Linked DNA regions of Neodiprion lecontei. Each later gene encodes a partner of the first gene's protein in a complex. Links are inferred from orthologs where the notes say so. Each region holds a gene or a part of one and is shown in the gene's direction. Other genes may lie near its edges.

What was found.
Region 2: the proteins of transportin-3 (region 1) and serine/arginine-rich splicing factor 1A are in contact, whole or in part, in a crystal structure (PDB 4C0O), measured with the Homo sapiens proteins. The link is inferred for Neodiprion lecontei from reciprocal best matches to the Homo sapiens genes TNPO3 and SRSF1. Residues at the interface, in NP_036602.1 of Homo sapiens: His155, Arg157, Arg160, Thr167, Tyr254, Ile256, Glu257, Glu304, Glu340, Ile341, Phe343, Asn344, Tyr347, Arg348, Glu351, His352, Lys355, Thr356, Arg620, Asn656, Glu660, Arg661, Arg664, Arg667, Phe668, Arg671, Ser698, Cys699, Tyr702, Ile706; in NP_008855.1 of Homo sapiens: Ser116, Arg117, Arg118, Ser133, Trp134, Gln135, Lys138, Asp139, Arg142, Glu143, Gly145, Asp146, Cys148, Tyr149, Ala150, Asp151, Val152, Tyr153, Arg154, Val172, Arg173, Asp176, Asn177, Arg181, His183, Tyr189, Ile190, Arg191, Arg198, Pro200.
Region 3: the proteins of transportin-3 (region 1) and cleavage and polyadenylation specificity factor subunit 6 are in contact, whole or in part, in a crystal structure (PDB 6GX9), measured with the Homo sapiens proteins. The link is inferred for Neodiprion lecontei from reciprocal best matches to the Homo sapiens genes TNPO3 and CPSF6. Residues at the interface, in NP_036602.1 of Homo sapiens: Arg620, Asn656, Arg657, Glu660, Arg661, Arg664, Arg667, Phe668, Arg671, Ser698, Cys699, Tyr702, Ile706, Asp709, Asp747, Asp750, Asp751, Arg754, Arg758, Gln761, Cys793, Arg797; in NP_008938.2 of Homo sapiens: Tyr521, Arg522, Glu523, Arg524, Ser525, Glu527, Arg528.

Annotation. Positions count from the first base shown.
Region 1 is NC_060262.1:41,795,769-41,800,870, forward strand, and holds the start of transportin-3, read left to right. Parts: upstream 1-2,047; 5' UTR 2,048-2,163; coding exon 2,164-2,280; intron 2,281-2,837; coding exon 2,838-3,041; intron 3,042-3,181; coding exon 3,182-3,339; intron 3,340-3,453; coding exon 3,454-3,526; intron 3,527-3,751; coding exon 3,752-3,889; intron 3,890-4,076; coding exon 4,077-4,297; intron 4,298-4,424; coding exon 4,425-4,569; intron 4,570-4,694; coding exon 4,695-4,841; intron 4,842-4,915; coding exon 4,916-5,102. Other genes in the region: serine/threonine-protein kinase 33-like, read right to left, coding at 122-280, 469-639, 980-1,115, 1,227-1,331, 1,411-1,614. UniProt on the Homo sapiens protein: Importin, which transports target proteins into the nucleus. Specifically mediates the nuclear import of splicing factor serine/arginine (SR) proteins, such as RBM4, SFRS1 and SFRS2, by recognizing phosphorylated SR domains.
Region 2 is NC_060262.1:33,701,740-33,708,924, reverse strand, and holds serine/arginine-rich splicing factor 1A, read left to right. Parts: upstream 1-1,679; 5' UTR 1,680-1,795; coding exon 1,796-1,965; intron 1,966-3,588; coding exon 3,589-3,982; intron 3,983-4,386; coding exon 4,387-4,578; 3' UTR 4,579-4,581; intron 4,582-5,595; 3' UTR 5,596-6,576; downstream 6,577-7,185. UniProt on the Homo sapiens protein: Plays a role in preventing exon skipping, ensuring the accuracy of splicing and regulating alternative splicing.
Region 3 is NC_060265.1:7,461,436-7,466,408, forward strand, and holds the start of cleavage and polyadenylation specificity factor subunit 6, read left to right. Parts: upstream 1-1,968; 5' UTR 1,969-2,061; coding exon 2,062-2,118; intron 2,119-2,354; coding exon 2,355-2,579; intron 2,580-3,777; coding exon 3,778-4,005; intron 4,006-4,244; coding exon 4,245-4,736; intron 4,737-4,843; coding exon 4,844-4,970; intron 4,971-4,973. UniProt on the Homo sapiens protein: Component of the cleavage factor Im (CFIm) complex that functions as an activator of the pre-mRNA 3'-end cleavage and polyadenylation processing required for the maturation of pre-mRNA into functional mRNAs.

The DNA of each region.
Region 1 (5,102 bases):
TTTTTATACTTTATATATTTTATTATATTTTAGTGTTATATTGTTCGACCTAAATATAACACGAGAGTCTTTAATTCGTTTGAAAGGTACCGTACACGGTACGTGAATTATATCTACGCACCAGAAAGATCAAGCTCTTGTGTTTTAACGAGCATATGGAGGTGCTGATCGTTCGTAGAATAAAATGGAAACTTCCCAACGAGCAGGACGTACATTATAATTCCCATGGACCAAACGTCACACTGCTGGCTATAAGATTTAGTGGAGATCATTTCTGGCGCTGTGCGAAGAAGACGTTGGTGATAAAAATCCGGTTTTAAACAAAATTAAATAAATTCAAACACCTATATTGTATTCAAATATCTTATATTGGAACCGATTGTAATTATAAGCGAATGAGTAATATTATATAATATTATATAAGACTTATATCTAAGTCTAATAATATTTTCAGTAGAATTTATTTACCCATGTAAGTAAGCGTGCCGCAACAATCATGCAGCATGGTTTCGTATCCCGTACCGCCCCGCACCGCACTAAGCCCAAAGTCCGTTACTTTTATATGTAAATCGTCGTCCGGATTTTGCGGGTTCGCAGCGATCAGAATATTTTCCAACTTCAGATCACGGTGAACGATGTCTGTACAGATATGTTTTCAAAATATAAGAGTACGATAAAAAATGTAATCGATCCTCAACGAATTAATGTATCATTTACCTATAACTACAGGCATGTTTCTCTGTGGTGATCAATTGCCATATTTGAATACTTAGTTAATTAGTTTCGAATCGACTCTAGCGTTGAAATAGAAGCATTCAAGAATTGGAACTGAAAGCTATTTGAGTGTTCCAGGAATTTATAGGAATAATGGTTTAAATTCACGTTGACAGCACGGTTTACAATTATAAGTGCTTTAAAGGATAATACTGTTATAAAGGGTGAAATATCGATGAGCCTATCTTGCAGTAATTTCACTGACCGTTTTTGTGTAGGTAGGAAAGGGCACCAGCCAAGCTACGAATAACAGTCAATGTTTCCTTTTCTTCGAAGCGTTTCTTCGCTTTGAAAGTTTTTGCTAACGACCCCGTGCAAAGCTCAAATATTAAATAAATTGTCTATAAACAAAAAAACACATTCATTACTATATAATATCTAGTAAAAATGTTAGTAAAACTGTGTAAATATGACTGAACCGATTGGAACGTAAATTATAAAATTATTCTCACCTTCGGCGATTCAAAAACGCGGTCGAGGAGGATTATGTTCGGATGATAGACCAACTTGAGAATATGGATTTCCCGTTCGACGAGCATTATTCTCGAGGCGCCAGCCTAATGAAAATAACTTAGTGCTCTGCATGAAACTTGACGCAACGATGATCCTTATTATGTAATAAATATTTAAACGTACTTGAGACTTATTGATAATTTTAACTGCCCAATTGAGCCCCGACCCTTTGTGACTCGCTTTAACGACAGTACCGAAGCTTCCTTTCCCTAAAATCTCACCAAACTCGTAGATTCTCTGCAATTCAGCGAGGTCCGTAATTCTTTTATGTATCAAATCTCGCTCTTTCAATTTAGTCGAGTGCGTCGATGAATGTTTTTGAAACATAAGTTTGATCTTTTTACCCCGTAACCTGTGCCTGTCATGTCAAAACTGAAAATGTGACAGCCTTCGCTAAATTAATAAATAAAAAATTACTGCCCTCATCCGATGATTGAACGTTTCGGTCGGCTCAACACATCAATATGCGTGATTATTTCTAAGCATTTATATGAACCGTGTATCGTTGTTAATAAAGAGTTATGCTGTTGATAATTTGACAACAGTGATTATAGTGTTCAATCTTTCTACCATACTTGGCGTAAGATGAATTTAAATTTACCGCGGGCTTGGTCGGTGAGAGAGAAATTTTTCCAACCGACTGGTAACTAGCCCCATCTGTAAATTGAAATAGAAAATTTCACTGGCTCTGAAGGTTGTTGCGTGGTGCAGCATGTACCGGCACCGTTGCAGCAGACTCTTCGAAAAACAAGAAGTGAAGTCAGGACAGGCCGCGGATCATGACCGATATCGTCGTCCAACAACGCCTGTGAATTTGTTGTGACAGAGATTTTCTTATGTATGGAGATTATTTAGGGGAAAACTATTTTTTAAAGTATGGATTCATCGCCTTCCTTGGAAACTGTCTATCAGGCTGTGTATTCCCTTTACAACAACCCAAACTCAGCCGAGAAGGAAAAGGCCTCGGTATGGTTGGGGGAGCTACAAAGTTCCGTGAGTATTAACCTCAGTTTGTTGAAAATCTTATACCTAACGAGCATTTTTCGTTCCGGAAGGAGTCCTCGGCCCTCATATTATATCTAATCTCACTACAGTCCCAATTTTCGATTCGGAACGTCAGAAAGTCGCGTGCACCATCACACGTCATAACCTGTAATTTTCTCGGACGTCGACCACTTTTTTTGATCCTGGCACATGCCCTCCTTACAAAAAAAAAAGAGACAAAATTAATACTTGATTTGGAAGAAGCTGATAATTATGTTAAAGTTTAAATTGTATGTCAAACTTCGTCATGCTAACAAAATGCCTAGATCTTGGTCTGATGTTTGGAAAACGAGAGGAAATTTATATGCAATTTCTTTATTAACCGACAAGTGGATTTAAAGTTTTTTTTTTAATTTCTGTCAAAATATGCAGTTTATTGCGACAAAAAATTAAATTTGAAGATTTGAGAGTGTTGGGAATTAGGGCTTTGAAAAAAAATTATACCCTTCCATTTCATATCTGTAGCTGAGAAGCATGTGGGAAAACGTGATATCTTGTTTCTACAGGTGTTCGCATGGAAAGTAGCGGACGAAATGTTACAGCAAAAACGAGATGTAGAATCTTGTTACTTTGCTGCGCAGACCATGCGTACAAAGATACAATTGTCATTTCACGAACTGCCTGCAGAGGCTCACAATTCATTGAGAGACTCTTTGATGGATCACATATCCCAAATAAACGAGCACACCAGCAACGTCATCGTTACACAGGTGCGCATCAGTTATACAATTGACACAGGAACATGAAATTTTAAATATTTTGCCTTAAATAATATCCAATTATTTTTAATTGGAAATTTGAATTTTTTTCCTTGACTGTCTCGGTATTTTAAAACTTTCTTTACTTCTAGCTGTGCTTAGCACTCGCAGATCTCACTCTGCAAATGTGCTCATGGCAAAAGCCAGTTGTTGATCTAATCAACAGGTTTGGCGGAGCCACAGCTAGCTTATGGCCACTCTTAGAAGTCATGACAGTTTTACCAGAAGAAGTCAACTCCAGATCTCTCAAGTGAGTTGCTAATATTTAACACAAAAAATTACATTGTATGTATTTTCCAAACTACCTTGAAAAGTGGGTGTTGAGATAACGCTAAGTAATTGAATACATTGTTTGAAACTTTAGATTAGGCGCTAACCGGCGTCAGCATATCATCATGGACCTTAATGCTAGTGCCGATACGGTTACAGAGTTCTTGGTGAGTATTTTCTTATTCTTTGTTATTTTACGGTTGTTTATTTATAGATCCAACATTTGGTAGTCAAGCAATGCCCAACTTTGGCTAGCACAACTTCAAAAACTTGCGCTTGAGATTGTGAATTTGAGATCTGTTTCTTGTATTTCGAAACAATTAATTGTAATTATGAAACTAAAGTCACTTCTGGTAGTGGGACATTTAATGAATTGATATTTTTCTTGGCAGAAAGTTTGCTTAGAAAACGGTGGTGACAATGCACAAATTCAGGTCAGGATCCTTCGATGCTTTACCAGCTGGGTAGCAGTTCATGCGATATCCCTTCAAGCTGTCGGAAGCAGCGATGTTGTGGCATACGCTTTCCAGGTAAGCTAAACTGTGTGGTCACTGAAAGGTGTGCAAAGTTCATTTTTATATTAACAACATATCAAATTACACTTGGAATGCTTATGTTATTTCTCATTTGGTGATACAAACAGAAGGTAGAATAAAAAGTTTAGTTGAATTTTAAAGCTTTTCGTTTGTTGTAAATTTTGCTCGATCATTCGTGCAGGTACTCGGTAACCACATGACAGGATCACAGCTACATGAAGTAGCCACAGATTGCGTCTGTGTTTTACTGCAGTCATTGAAAGACGAAGGTTGCTTGAATCATAGCCAAAGTAACGGTGAAATAGAAATGCAACGGCAGCAGCTTCAACTGTGTGTCTTCACTAGCGTGATGAATCTTGAGCAGCCTTATCACTTATCCGTTGCTCATGAAGATATGGAGAAGTACTTCGAATTCTATTGTCTATTTCTTTTTTGAGAGATACCTATACATACCATTTCTCCTTCAATTTATCGACCATAATGAACTGGTTATTTACTGATAGTTTTATGCATACTCTATTTTCAACAGATCCATGAATTACTGTCGTATCTTCACGGAACTTGCTGAGTCTTTTTTAGACACAATGGTTAGCGGTTGCCTAGGAGGCAAGCAACATTATTCAGTGAAGATACTCGATCTTGTGCTCACCTGTGTAGGGCATCACGACTACGAGGTAACATAATAAAAGGGTCGACTACGGACATTTCTAAGTTTCTTACCTTTTTCTACCACTTAATGAAATGTCTCAAAGCATATGCCGGATGAATAACGTTTCAGCTAAACGCTCATCTCTTCTAGGTCGCAGAGATCACTTTCAACTTGTGGTACAGACTGTCAGAAGATCTTTATCAACGAAATAGTGATGATCTTAACACCACTTTTAGACCCCACTTTGAACGACTTGTTGGAGCATTATGTAGGCATTGCCAAATGGAACCGGACCACGTGAGTAACGCTTTTTGTGCATGAACCGCAAAATTTCTTCGTGACTGTTGTGAATAACGAAAAAATTTCATCAGTTGGGCCTTGTCGAGGAAGGCGGTGGCGGTGAGGACTTTGCCGATTTCCGAGGCCGTGTGTCTGAACTGATCAAGGATGTAGTATTTGTTGTGGGCAGCTGTCACTGTTTTCGTCAAATGTTCACGGCCTTAACAGGTGCTGTCGGGCCGCAGGGCCAACAGCAAACTCCAACTTGGGACTCGAGTG
Region 2 (7,185 bases), about 8.1 Mb from region 1:
TCGACTGCACATCGACAGTAACCAGTGGGGTGTCTGATACGTAATTACAATAGACACGTAAATTTTGGAGCTACTTGATCGACATGAGTGATTCAGAGTATAAATTTAGGGCTATGCACTCAGATGAAATATACTAAATCGCACAAACGAAAGAAGATGAGATTATGGAAACGAAAACAACGAATTTTGGAGAGTAAGGTGTAATTTGTGAGGTTTCGCACCTAATATACGAATTAATTTTAAATGAACCTCGGAGGTAGAACACGCGCGATTTTGACAGTGGCGTGAACGTCAAATACCGGCATGTCAATACCAGATGCCAGATCGCCAGCAGCAGAAGAGGCTCGGTTAATATAAGCGGGCGGGAGCGACGGCGAAGCGCGAGGAGAAGCGCGGGACGGGTATTGTTTTATCGATAAGAAAATATGTCGCAGGATCGGCACGCGATCGAGAATAACGAGTGATAGAATTGTAATTGGTAACGAATATATGTCATGTTTAATATTCGCGAATACGTAATGGGTGATATAGAGACCGCCAACGAAAGCCAAACTTGACAGTAAGATCATTGCCCCCCCGACCGTTTGAAACCGAAATATTTCGTAAAGTAGCTGTTAACATACCTTTTAAAAAGCTACACTCAGCTAGTTTATATTCTGGCAAACACTTGAGGCTCTTTCGATTACGTTTCACACAGTTTACCGCGGCAAACCGAATTTACTCCGCGATTTTTCCGCGCTCGAGCCAAACACCAAAAATCCCTTCACGGGTTGAAGATTGTACCTCAACGTATCTCGACCCTGATTGGTCGAGGTGTAGGGTCTTCTATCAGGGTCCTCTATCAACCCGGCATGCCTTGCGTCGTACAGCCCGCGCAAGAAGGGATACCGATGACGCATTCAAACGTTATTCAAACATTATTACACCCGCAGCGAGAAATATCACATCATTTCTTGTTATTGTTCAAATTGTTAGTTTTGCGGACTTATTTTTTCTTTATTCACCATTTTAAGTCGAATATACACCAGCAGCAGGGAATTTTGGCTTGTTCCAATTAATATTGTACGTAATGAAAACATAATGCAACATACGCCTCCAAGCCTAGCGATTATTGTGAAATTTAGTATATTGACGGTAAAATATTAGAGTTCATGAAAAGAAAATGGGATGGGATACGTTAACGAGGGATTCGTACGGTAACATGTGTAATCAAATATCTAAACTTACCTACTGTAATTTCTGGAAAAACGAAAATTTTTTTAAGACTCAATAGTGACTTCACAAATTTCAGGATCGGATATAAATAAACCGTCACGGTAACGTGCGTATCTTTGACAATCACCAGCTTGCTTTTATTTATATGTCCTTTTTCCGTTTATCAAAGCATAAGTGATTGATTTTTTTCTCCTGAATATATATGTACGGAGTGAAATGAAAACTACAAAAACATCGTACTTGCAACAATTGGTCACCGTCAAATCAACATCTGTAACTGAAATCAAAGCTCCCTCTCGGGTTTGTAGCATTGAAAATAAGTTGAAAAATCTTCAACCCATGAATAATGATTAATTTTTTGTTATTCACAAGAATCTTTCTCTTCTCAGTTTTAATTAAACCAATTCAAAAAGACTAGTCAAATCAATTAAAGTATCCGCTTCCGAACTGTGACCGGGCCACGCCATCTTGTTTGTTCCACTAAGAGTGAAGCAGCGGCCGTGAACAATTAAGGCGCAAATATCGTCACTGTTGCATTTGATGATTAACTAGACTCTGTTAGTTATTCCGTTTAATCAAGATGTCTCACGGTGGTAGGAACGAGTGTAGGATTTACGTGGGAAATTTACCACCAGATATTCGTACCAAAGACATTCAGGATCTTTTCTACAAATTTGGTAAAGTTACCTTTGTTGACTTGAAAAATCGTAGGGGGCCGCCATTCGCCTTCGTTGAGTTCGACGACCCAAGGTACGTATTTTTTTGCGTTTCTACCTGTTAGGTTAACATACGGGTGTTGGGCATACTTGTTTATCGCATATTATGCTCAGCGCGCTCTATTCCGCCCTTGTCGCTAATAATCATGCTCATCTCTAGGCCTATGCAACGTAACCTTGTACTTACATTGCGTGATCTATTTTTGATAGCAACCACAAATTTACCAACCATTTGAATTCATGAGCGAATTACGTCTATTAACACGTATCCGCATTTATGCACAAATACACGGCGATACTTTAAAGTTAAATTGTGCTTAATCGTTTTAGCGGATGAGAGTTCATGCATATTGCATAGCTTGCAGAAGTCACTGTGAAACTTGTTACACCGAGCGCACATTTGAATGGAAATTACATATGACTGTATTCAAACTTTACATCAATTAAAGCCCACAGTATCTAGGCACTGGCAGTCAGTGGATGTAAATGACGGCAAGATTGGCAGTCGAGAAATTTCACGGCTTTATAGCAAAATACTTTCGGGTATATTCCATCCTTGAGCGAGCAGGTGGCGCAGTGGCTAAGGCTCTGGAGCAGTGAACTGGCAAGCTTGGGTTTGAGACTTTGGGCCATAGAACTTTCTGTGTCTTATTTTTTGAAAGAAGTTCGACCTTCATCATACTTTTGCTACGGGCTTGATAAATTATTGTATTGCGTTGTCATCCGAAACCCCAACACACACTGGGTTATGATTTCGCTGCCAGTTTGTGGCTACCAACCATGCTGCTGTTATAGTTGTTATTCTGTATGTAAAAACTCAGGGTCTATTCCATCTATAAAGTGAATTACATATCACTCCAAATACGTAGTCTGCTAACCTCTCAGCCAAAAATTCTGGATGTGCGTCTGGTTACTTTATAGTGCAACAAGCCACACTGACCTAAAAAATACAAGTTTTGCAAGGTTACTGAATTATTAACTTTGCGCATCCTATAGTTTTTACAAGACAGCATAATTGGGAAATATCAAGGAATTTTACTGAACAGATCAAACATTATAAAAACTCGACAAAAAAATAAAAAATGAATAAATAAAATAAAAAAAAAAAAAAAACAAGAAAAATCAAAAAACTGCAGGTTTTGGTTCTCCGACTTGCAGTTTATCGAAACTCAAGACTGTTTCAGATATATTTTATGATACAAAACAGGTTCTACTCGGAATCAAGATTTGCATAGTTGATGAGGAGTAGTAAAACATGATTTTTTTAAAAAAAGATTGTAGATTTTTTAACAGTAAACCTTACTAGCTGTCATGTAAATCAGTCTTCAATTTCATTCAGTTGGACAGCATAAATAGCTAGGCAAAAGTTTTTTTCAAAGTTACTACAAATTTTGCAGAGTTTGGCGATTAGGAATTTCTAACAATCTGACTTCTTGACAGTGTCTTTTGTAGGCTCAAAGTATCTCCAATAGTTGACTAATCTTTTCGAAGATATTCAGTTCATATTGTAGAATGATAGTTTCATGTTGCAAACCAATTTCATATATGATGTGAACTAATTTTAAGTTACACAGCTTCAGTAAACTTCACCTGAAACATTTTGATCAAATGAATAAAAATAAACAAATAAGTAAAGATGTTTATATTGAAATTACAGGGATGCCGAAGATGCAGTACATGCTAGAGATGGTTATGACTATGATGGCTATAGGTTGAGAGTAGAATTTCCCAGGGGTGGGGGACCAAGTAACAACTTTCGCGGGGGACGTGGTGCAGGAGGTGGTGATAGTGGCGGTAGAGGTGGCAGAGGTGAAATGAGCAATTCTAGAGGCCGTGGTCCTCCGGCTCGTCGATCTCAGTATAGAGTATTGGTTACGGGGTTGCCATCCTCGGGAAGCTGGCAGGATCTCAAAGACCACATGCGCGAAGCAGGTGACGTTTGCTTTGCAGATGTCTACAAAGATGGGACTGGTGTCGTTGAGTTTCTACGTTACGAAGACATGAAGTATGCGGTCAAAAAATTAGATGACTCCAGGTTCAGATCGCATGAGGTACAACTTCTATGTTTATTTGTAATTATTTAGTGGAGTGCAATTAACTGAACTATCTTTTTCCATATCACAGACATATTTTCTCTTCTGTAAATGACAAACTAGACATTGAAAAAATGTAATTTTCTAAAACTGAAAATTCTAGCTTATCGATTTAAGTTAATTTTTAATGTACTGCAGGTAAAAATATTGCAGTAATTGAATTGGCCTAAAATTTTTTGAAGGATTGCACCTTATTTCATGACAATTACAATAAATTTTGTTTGCCTCAATATTAATACATGCCTTAGCCACAACAGTTTCTCACTACTTCAGCATTTTTCAAATATATTATTATTTAAACAATGATCGTAAATGTCTTATTTCTTGTGACTGTCACGTTAACTTTTTATCCCAATTCTCAGGGTGAAGTTGCATACATTCGTGTCAAAGAAGACCACAGCAGTGGAGATCGCGGCCGCAGTGAAGATCGAGAGAGAGGACGTACTCGTTCGAGGAGTTACAGTCCACGTCGTCGTGGTTCTCCTACCTATTCGCCATTGCGTCGCAACTACTCGCGGTCACGCTCACGCTCCAGGTCTCGCTCATACGATTAGTGTGTACGTATCAATACTATATAACCTCAGTGATAATATGAGTGATTTTTCAACCACTCATGCCTTGCCGAATTTCGTTTTCACTGCTTTGACTCACTAAAGACATTTATCTTGGCTGAATGAATTGTAAATTGTATTTTACAAACTGTATTCAGGTTGTCGTTGCATAATTGACAAGTATGTTGTTACCTGTGTAATACATACGATCACAGGTGCAGTGTAACATAAGATTTTTCACAGTCTTTGATAAACATGATTCTTTTTCCTAATAATTTTTCATCCCTTTCTTGATCACTTCAGAGGGAAATCTTGACAAGTTTTTGGCATCGAAAAATTGAAAGGAATTGAATACTATCATTATACTTGTTGTGAATTGCATCACTTTTTTTCTACAAGTTAAACCTAATCAGTTTTATTAATTGTCAATTGTGGTTGATGTTCTGATATTGAAATAGCTTTTCATGCATAATGTCTGTAAAGTTAACAGTGTTCGGTTTACTCAAATAAATTTGTACCAATTGAACTAGACAATTACAAAAGTTCAAGGAAAACATCTTTAACGGCCACATTTTTTTAAACATAATAGTGCTTTGATACAAGATATGAATCGTCACCGAAACCTATAGTGATTGCCGAAATTTTTGAATATACATCGTGAGTAATATTCGATATGTCGAATAATTCTGTACCACTATTGTTTTATCAAATCAATCTGCAATTTCTTGGAATATTACATAAAGTCTTCGTTCCATTTCTTGGTACCATAATATTAAAATGCGCACATGTGCATATTCTTTACTATGCCCATGTAAAGGAATAATGTTTGCAATCCCGATTAATTATCATTATCAGCTAGATCAGGGATAGGATTGTAGATCCGGAGCTGGCGTAAAATTCGCAATTCACAACAAATATGACGTGATATATCATTATCATCTACAAATACGGATCAACGCGTGATTTAATGTTTTATTTTTTGCCCATAAAAATTGTTTTAAGCCATAATTATTATTGCAGGATAACAGATCTTTGTCAGATGAGACCTCATGGTAGCCAAATATGAGAACAATGATTTGGTGATCATGAGCATTGCGAGACATTGCGCTGACAACCCCACTGCATCTTTTTACTCATAACATGCTGTACACCGCGTCATCTCCCACCTTATGTTTAATACGTTTATAACTTTTAATGAGAAAACTATCTGCAACAGACAAGTTTCAGTATTCATAAGTCTTAACACTTATGAAAATGGATTGTGAAAAACACTTTTTCAAAGCATATACGTGGCAAACCACAAAGTATAGTCATTTTAAAGCTTATGCAGAAAGTAAAACGTATTCTCCTGCATTATTAAAACCACCAATCCATTTCTATAAGTCTTTGATGGATAACTCAATCCTGTGCTTAAAAGATGTAAATGTGAAAAGATTTTCTAACTGCACACATATTTATAAGCTTTCGCTCTGAGTCGATAATGCAAAGAGGCTCTGAATATTATAAATATTTTTACCAATGGGAACATCTGAATATATTTACATGTATTACATATTATAAATGTTTAAGTAAAATATCCATTCCTTTGAGAATATTATCAATTGTATATACGAGTCATAGGTCAGAGTTGCATGCTCAAATTCAGCAATGTTCCTTACACAACTCGTCGCAAAACGATTTCACACCAATTATATGTTATCTGAATCTTGAAGCGATTCCTTCGATTGCAACAGAGGAATAGCCTATAACGTATTTTCATTGTATTTTAAAATATATTTAATTCTATTACAGAGTTAATATGTGTTCATAATTCGAAAGAAATACAAAGATTCATTCCTGTTGTCGTTACAATCGCTTAGGGATTGCAGAATACGCGTTTGGGGTTTAAAGTTTCGAATCTGATATCGATTATCTATTATTGTATCAAGAAACTAATGTATTTTTTCTTCTTTTGTATATTGGATTGGATTGTAACACAATGAATGAAAAACTGAGAAACTACACGATGTTACTTCTTGGATGGATATAATGCTTCGTTCATACTTGACGATGGGATGGGATGGAATGCATTTTGGATGGATTTGTATGGAGCATAAATTTAAGCGGATTAAAGATAAGTCGCAGTGAGGATAATCAGGATTAAGGATAAATTTGGACAAGAGGAAATTCAGGAACGCGATCCTCAAGCAAGGATATATTCGATTCGAGGATTATCGATTAGCTGGGATTGGATTCAAGCTGATACACATTGGCAAGTCCATTGAAAACTCCGTGAAATTGACGTGGTTTTTTTCGTGTTTCTTCCTTTTTTCTTCCTAAATTACAGTCTGTTCACGTCCATCCACAAACACTTCAGTGTAGAAATTTAATAATATTTTTAAACGTGGCTAAAACATCAAGAACATATACCATGTTTTAATGTATCAAGTTGAGATGATTTGTTCTTTAAAAATTCATATGCATATTCATTTCATTTAAGTTTTATTATTTTTTTTTTTTTTGTTTCAAGCTGAAAAATTTGTGAGTGGTAAATATCCATGTGTCAATATTGAAACATCTTTCACTACCAATCAAAGTTCTTCAATAAATCACATTTTTTTTCTGTAGCTT
Region 3 (4,973 bases), on another chromosome or scaffold:
TTATTAATAATTTATAACCATGAAGAATAACAGTATTTTTATTTGGTCTCGTTGTGTCGGTCATTGAGACATCTTCTCTAGTCGATATTGTTCCAATTTGCGATCGCCGACGGGTAAGTGAAAATATTGATCGATGATTACTCGGTAGTGCTGCGTTCTCTATCCTTTTTTAACGCGCCGCGAACATGGAAAGACGAGAGTGACAGAGTATACAGAGTCGGTACGTCAGTTGACGATGATGACACTACCAAATGCAGAAAAACTGACTCATCGTACTGACGTCGATAAATCGCTATTCAATTTTTCTGATATGCGGACCTTAGTGAAATATGTAGAGGAACCTGGGGCAAAGTGAACCATCGCGGAAAAATGGACCGCCGTTGAAATAGTCGAAAATCGGGCGAAAATAACCCGCTCGGGCAAAATGGACCTTTGATACAAGGTGTGTTCCGAAATTAGGTGGCAGCGCTAAGAACTCCCTAGGACAGAGGCAGAGCTAATTCCGAACTTGGTAGCGCAAAAGAGATAAAAGATTGCTGACATCGCTGGGAGATAATATCGGAACGCACCTGTAGTAGGAGACCAGACCGGATATAGAGCACCTTAGGAATATTTATAAAATTATATTTCAACCTTCAGTGTACAAAGTGTGAACACACAATGCTGAAACTTGATACCGAGATGTCCATCATCATAATCTTGCAATTGCTTTAATGAATTGTCAATTTGACCTGTTTCAATATGTGAAATAAAACCGATTTTTTTCAAATAATCTGCTAATCCTACCTTAACTTAGCGAGGTAAGCCTACCAAGGTTTTAGGACAAGAAGAAAAGACAAAATAAACGTAAATACGACATTTTTTCATGCGCTCCATTTTTCCCCGGATTTTAGGCAAATGACTACTCGTGGCCCAGTAAATTTCAATCAAATTGTTTTCTGCGTGAAAAATTAATAAAAAATCGTATATTGCAGACCTAGAAGGTATATTTCCTTAGGGGGTCCATTTTTCCCGGGCACTCTTGATAAAAATCGTGCGACTTAGTAACGCTGCATCGTGACAATCAGCTCAGCGTTGATATCCGGTAGAACTCCATTTCGAAATTACTGATTAAATTTTACTCGAGCTCAGGGTCGTAAGAAGCGAAACTTTAACCGATGGATTTTATTCGCTCAAACACCTTCGCGATGTCACTTCAACAATTATAGCACACGAAGATTCGACCGTTAAATTAACATTCAATTGTTTAGATGTTAGCGCCTCGGTTGTTTGTCGATTGTTTATGCTACGCGGCCACCACCGCCCCCCGCCAAAATCCGTTGGCAAAAAATTGATGATGAATAGCTACTAACTGTTTCAGAAAAAAATTCCTTTGAAATCTTCCGAAAAGTTTGTCGACCCGATTTATATGTTAAACTAATGATTAATGAATACAAATTTACACTCCAATTATTATGCCAATGGCGGAGAACTGCCAAACTGCGGAATTATACCAACTGATTTTTTCCTCAATTCCGTTGAGTTGCACTCGCGAAACGTCCGCAAATGCCGGTTTTACGTTCGGACCTCTATGATCCGAAGCCAACTTCTCATAGCTGCTAACGTCATACCGATCACCGATTATTGTCATCTCTTTTATAGAAATGATTTTGTCTTTGTACATGAATAATTAATGATTAAACGTATCTACTTGAAACATGCTCCTCTAATCGCTAAAACGTTCCTTTGATCGCCACAACTGATTAAAACGAACCGTTAAACTTTAATTTGCATCGTCGAGGCAAAGTATCGAACATACAATGTATAAACCGGAACATGAAATGCGATAAATCGAAAACGGAAACTGACGGAAACAACTGAATCTTCCGACATTCCCATATACATATACATGTGTTGCGCGGCTACTAGCGCCATCACTGAACGCCGTCAAGTCCAGATTCCGAAAAGCGGTACTACAGTCAGAGCGTCAGTAATGGCGGATAGTCGGCTATCTACAGTACGATAGTCGGAAAGTTGGCGTGGGTCCTGTGTCGGCCGAAGCCAGCGTCGGTGTTCTGTAAAATGGCTGACGGTGACATTGATTTGTACGCCGACGATCTCGAGCAAGATTTCGCACAGGTAAGTCGAATTGTCATCGAAATCCCTAGACGTCGTCCCCCGCGTAATTACTTTACCTAAATCTCAAAAACTCTGTATCCGGCCTAGTATTTGGCCCGGAGAATGTTCTATTCGCTTCCGGCGTCATGGTCCGGATAACGATCGTGTATTATTCGATATCTAAGCGCTATCAAATTATCTGTAGATTTACCCCGATTCACGTGTAAACTACTATGCATACTCATTTTACAAACCAGGACGAATTTGCTGGGGAAGGTGTTGACCTGTACGACGACGTGATCGCAGCACCTCCAGGTGGGAATAGTGGAGGGGCAAATTCTGGTGGCGGAGCAGGCGATGGCGATACAACCTCAACTAACGAGGAGACTAACGGTAGCGCTCCTTATCATCAATTGGGCAACAACATTCAGCCCAACCAAATTGGAAGACGCCACCAACTTTACGTGGGAAACTTGACCTGGGTAAAGCATAATTATGACAATTATTTGTTCGAGCCATTATTTGCTCATCTACGCTGATTGGAGTCTGAGTCTAATTCGTCGAGTTAGCTTTGCACGGTGATTCAATTGATCATGACAAATTGCTTCTTATCCTAAGGCTCAATACAAACTTCAATCAAGCTCCAGCTTTAGCTTACATTCAAGTTTGAAAGTTAGCATGCCAAAGTTTTTAGTGCTTTGCCAATTCGTGTTACACATCTGTTCTCATTATTTTTGTAGATTTTAAATAATTTCAATATATTTTAACATTGCCTGATTTATTAAAACATAAATTGTTTCAACTAATGGCTGCCTATAAGTTATGTGTTAGGTTGTTAATTCCAAAAATTTGTTGATTCTTTGAAAATTTCATTATTACACTAGTAATCGAATTCAGTATTAACAAAAAATTTATCAGATGCTTACTTCAATAGATCACTTAGCTCGCTCACAGAAGTGAACTGTGATTCTTCACAAACTTTTTATTTAAAACATCTGTTCTCGGTGTTTCATTACAGGTAACATATGAATCAATTGTTCACTATTATTACATTTTTTCTCGGTCCCCTCCCAATAAATGTCATGTACTGTAAAATGCTTTTCTGTTCTGTCAGAAACATACGTATACTTGATGTACTTACGGTATCCTTGTCTTATGAGGAAAACGTGATGATTAAATATTTTGCATAAGTTTTTAGAATCTCTGAAATAAATTAATAAGGCTTTAAAAAGACAAAAGCTTTAGTGATTTCTACACTCACATGGTTTTTATGTATCCATGTAAAATTTTTGAAGATGACTACGATACTCCCTCTGAGTCACTACACAGTTTTATTTATGAATTTCTTTTTAGGGAATGCTTTCTTATTCTGTACTTTAGTAACATACGCAATTGAAACACAGAGTGTGTTTGACATGAAGCACACTGATTCTCCATCATAAATTGTACTTTACATAATGCATGAATAAAAATAATTAATTCAAGTACTGGTAATAATATGCATAACAATGAAACACTCAAGTGTTTGGAATTTTTTGCCGCTTGATACTAATTAAAATAATCGAATTGTGTTTGGATAATGTTACAACGAAGCCATTCAAGGAGATTTTTCAACTGTCTTAGATAAAATTGACGAGGATCTGTATAAATATTAATTTATCGAATGATGTTATTTTCTAGTGGACGAGTGATCAGGATATAACTGATGCGGTTCAAAGTATCGGTGTTCCTGATTTTGTTGAAGTGAAATTTTTTGAAAATCGTGCTAACGGACAGTCAAAAGGCTTCTGTGTCATATCCCTCGGTTCTGAACAAAGTATGAGAATATGCATGGAACGGCTTCCTAAGAAAGAACTGCATGGACAGAGCCCAGTTGTGACATTTCCAACCAAGCAGGCACTTAATCAGGTAACACATTATTTTGATGATATTAAAAGTAACAGTAATTATTCCGGTCTTGGGAATTAAAAAATTTCAGATCACTAAGACAACAACCGTTATCGCCCTATCTGCACTGATATTTAAAACATCTTTGAATTCTTTCGGCAAGAAATTTGTGAAGATATATATGTTTGGAATTTTTGTGATTTTTTGATCGCAACACACGTTGAAATCTTCATGAGTTAAGTAACGGTATTTGTCCTTAGTTTGAGTCTCAATGTAAGACTCGACCAGCTCCAGCTCCTCAACAAAGTCAAAATCAACGCCCACACAATCCTCATCAGCATCAAACATCCTTACCTCCTCATCAACAACATCCCCAGCATTCACCACATCCCCAACATCCTCAACACCCGCAACAAAACCACGGCCCCAGAATGATGATGGGACCGCCGCAAGGCGTGCGGAATCAACGTATGCCTTTGCCTGGCATGGGACCTCCTGGGCCTGGAGGACCTGGACAACAGGGCCCTCCAAGAATGCACGGGCCACCCATGGGCCCTGGTGGGCCTCACCATCCTTTACCTGGTCATCCTAATCAGGGTCCACCACCACCAGGCTATCAGCAAGGTCCTTGGAACGGACCAAGACCCAATGGTCCACCCGGACCACCGCGAGGGCCTGGCGGACCTGGTGGCCCTCCACAGCAAGGACCACCAGGATCAGGACCTGGACCGCAACATCGGCCGCCCGGAATGGTACTTGCATGTACCTACTTAGACAAATCCTCGTGAACTTTCATTTTACACTGTCTCAATTTTACTTAACTTTCTACTTTATAAACCATAACTTTGTCAATGCACAGCAATTTCACGGCGGACCACCTGGACCTCCGGGACAAGGGCCGCCTCGTGGACCACCTGGTCATCCTGGAGGACCGCCTGGTGATCCTAGAGGAGCCCCACCTCGTCCAGACTGGAATAGACCTCCGGGTA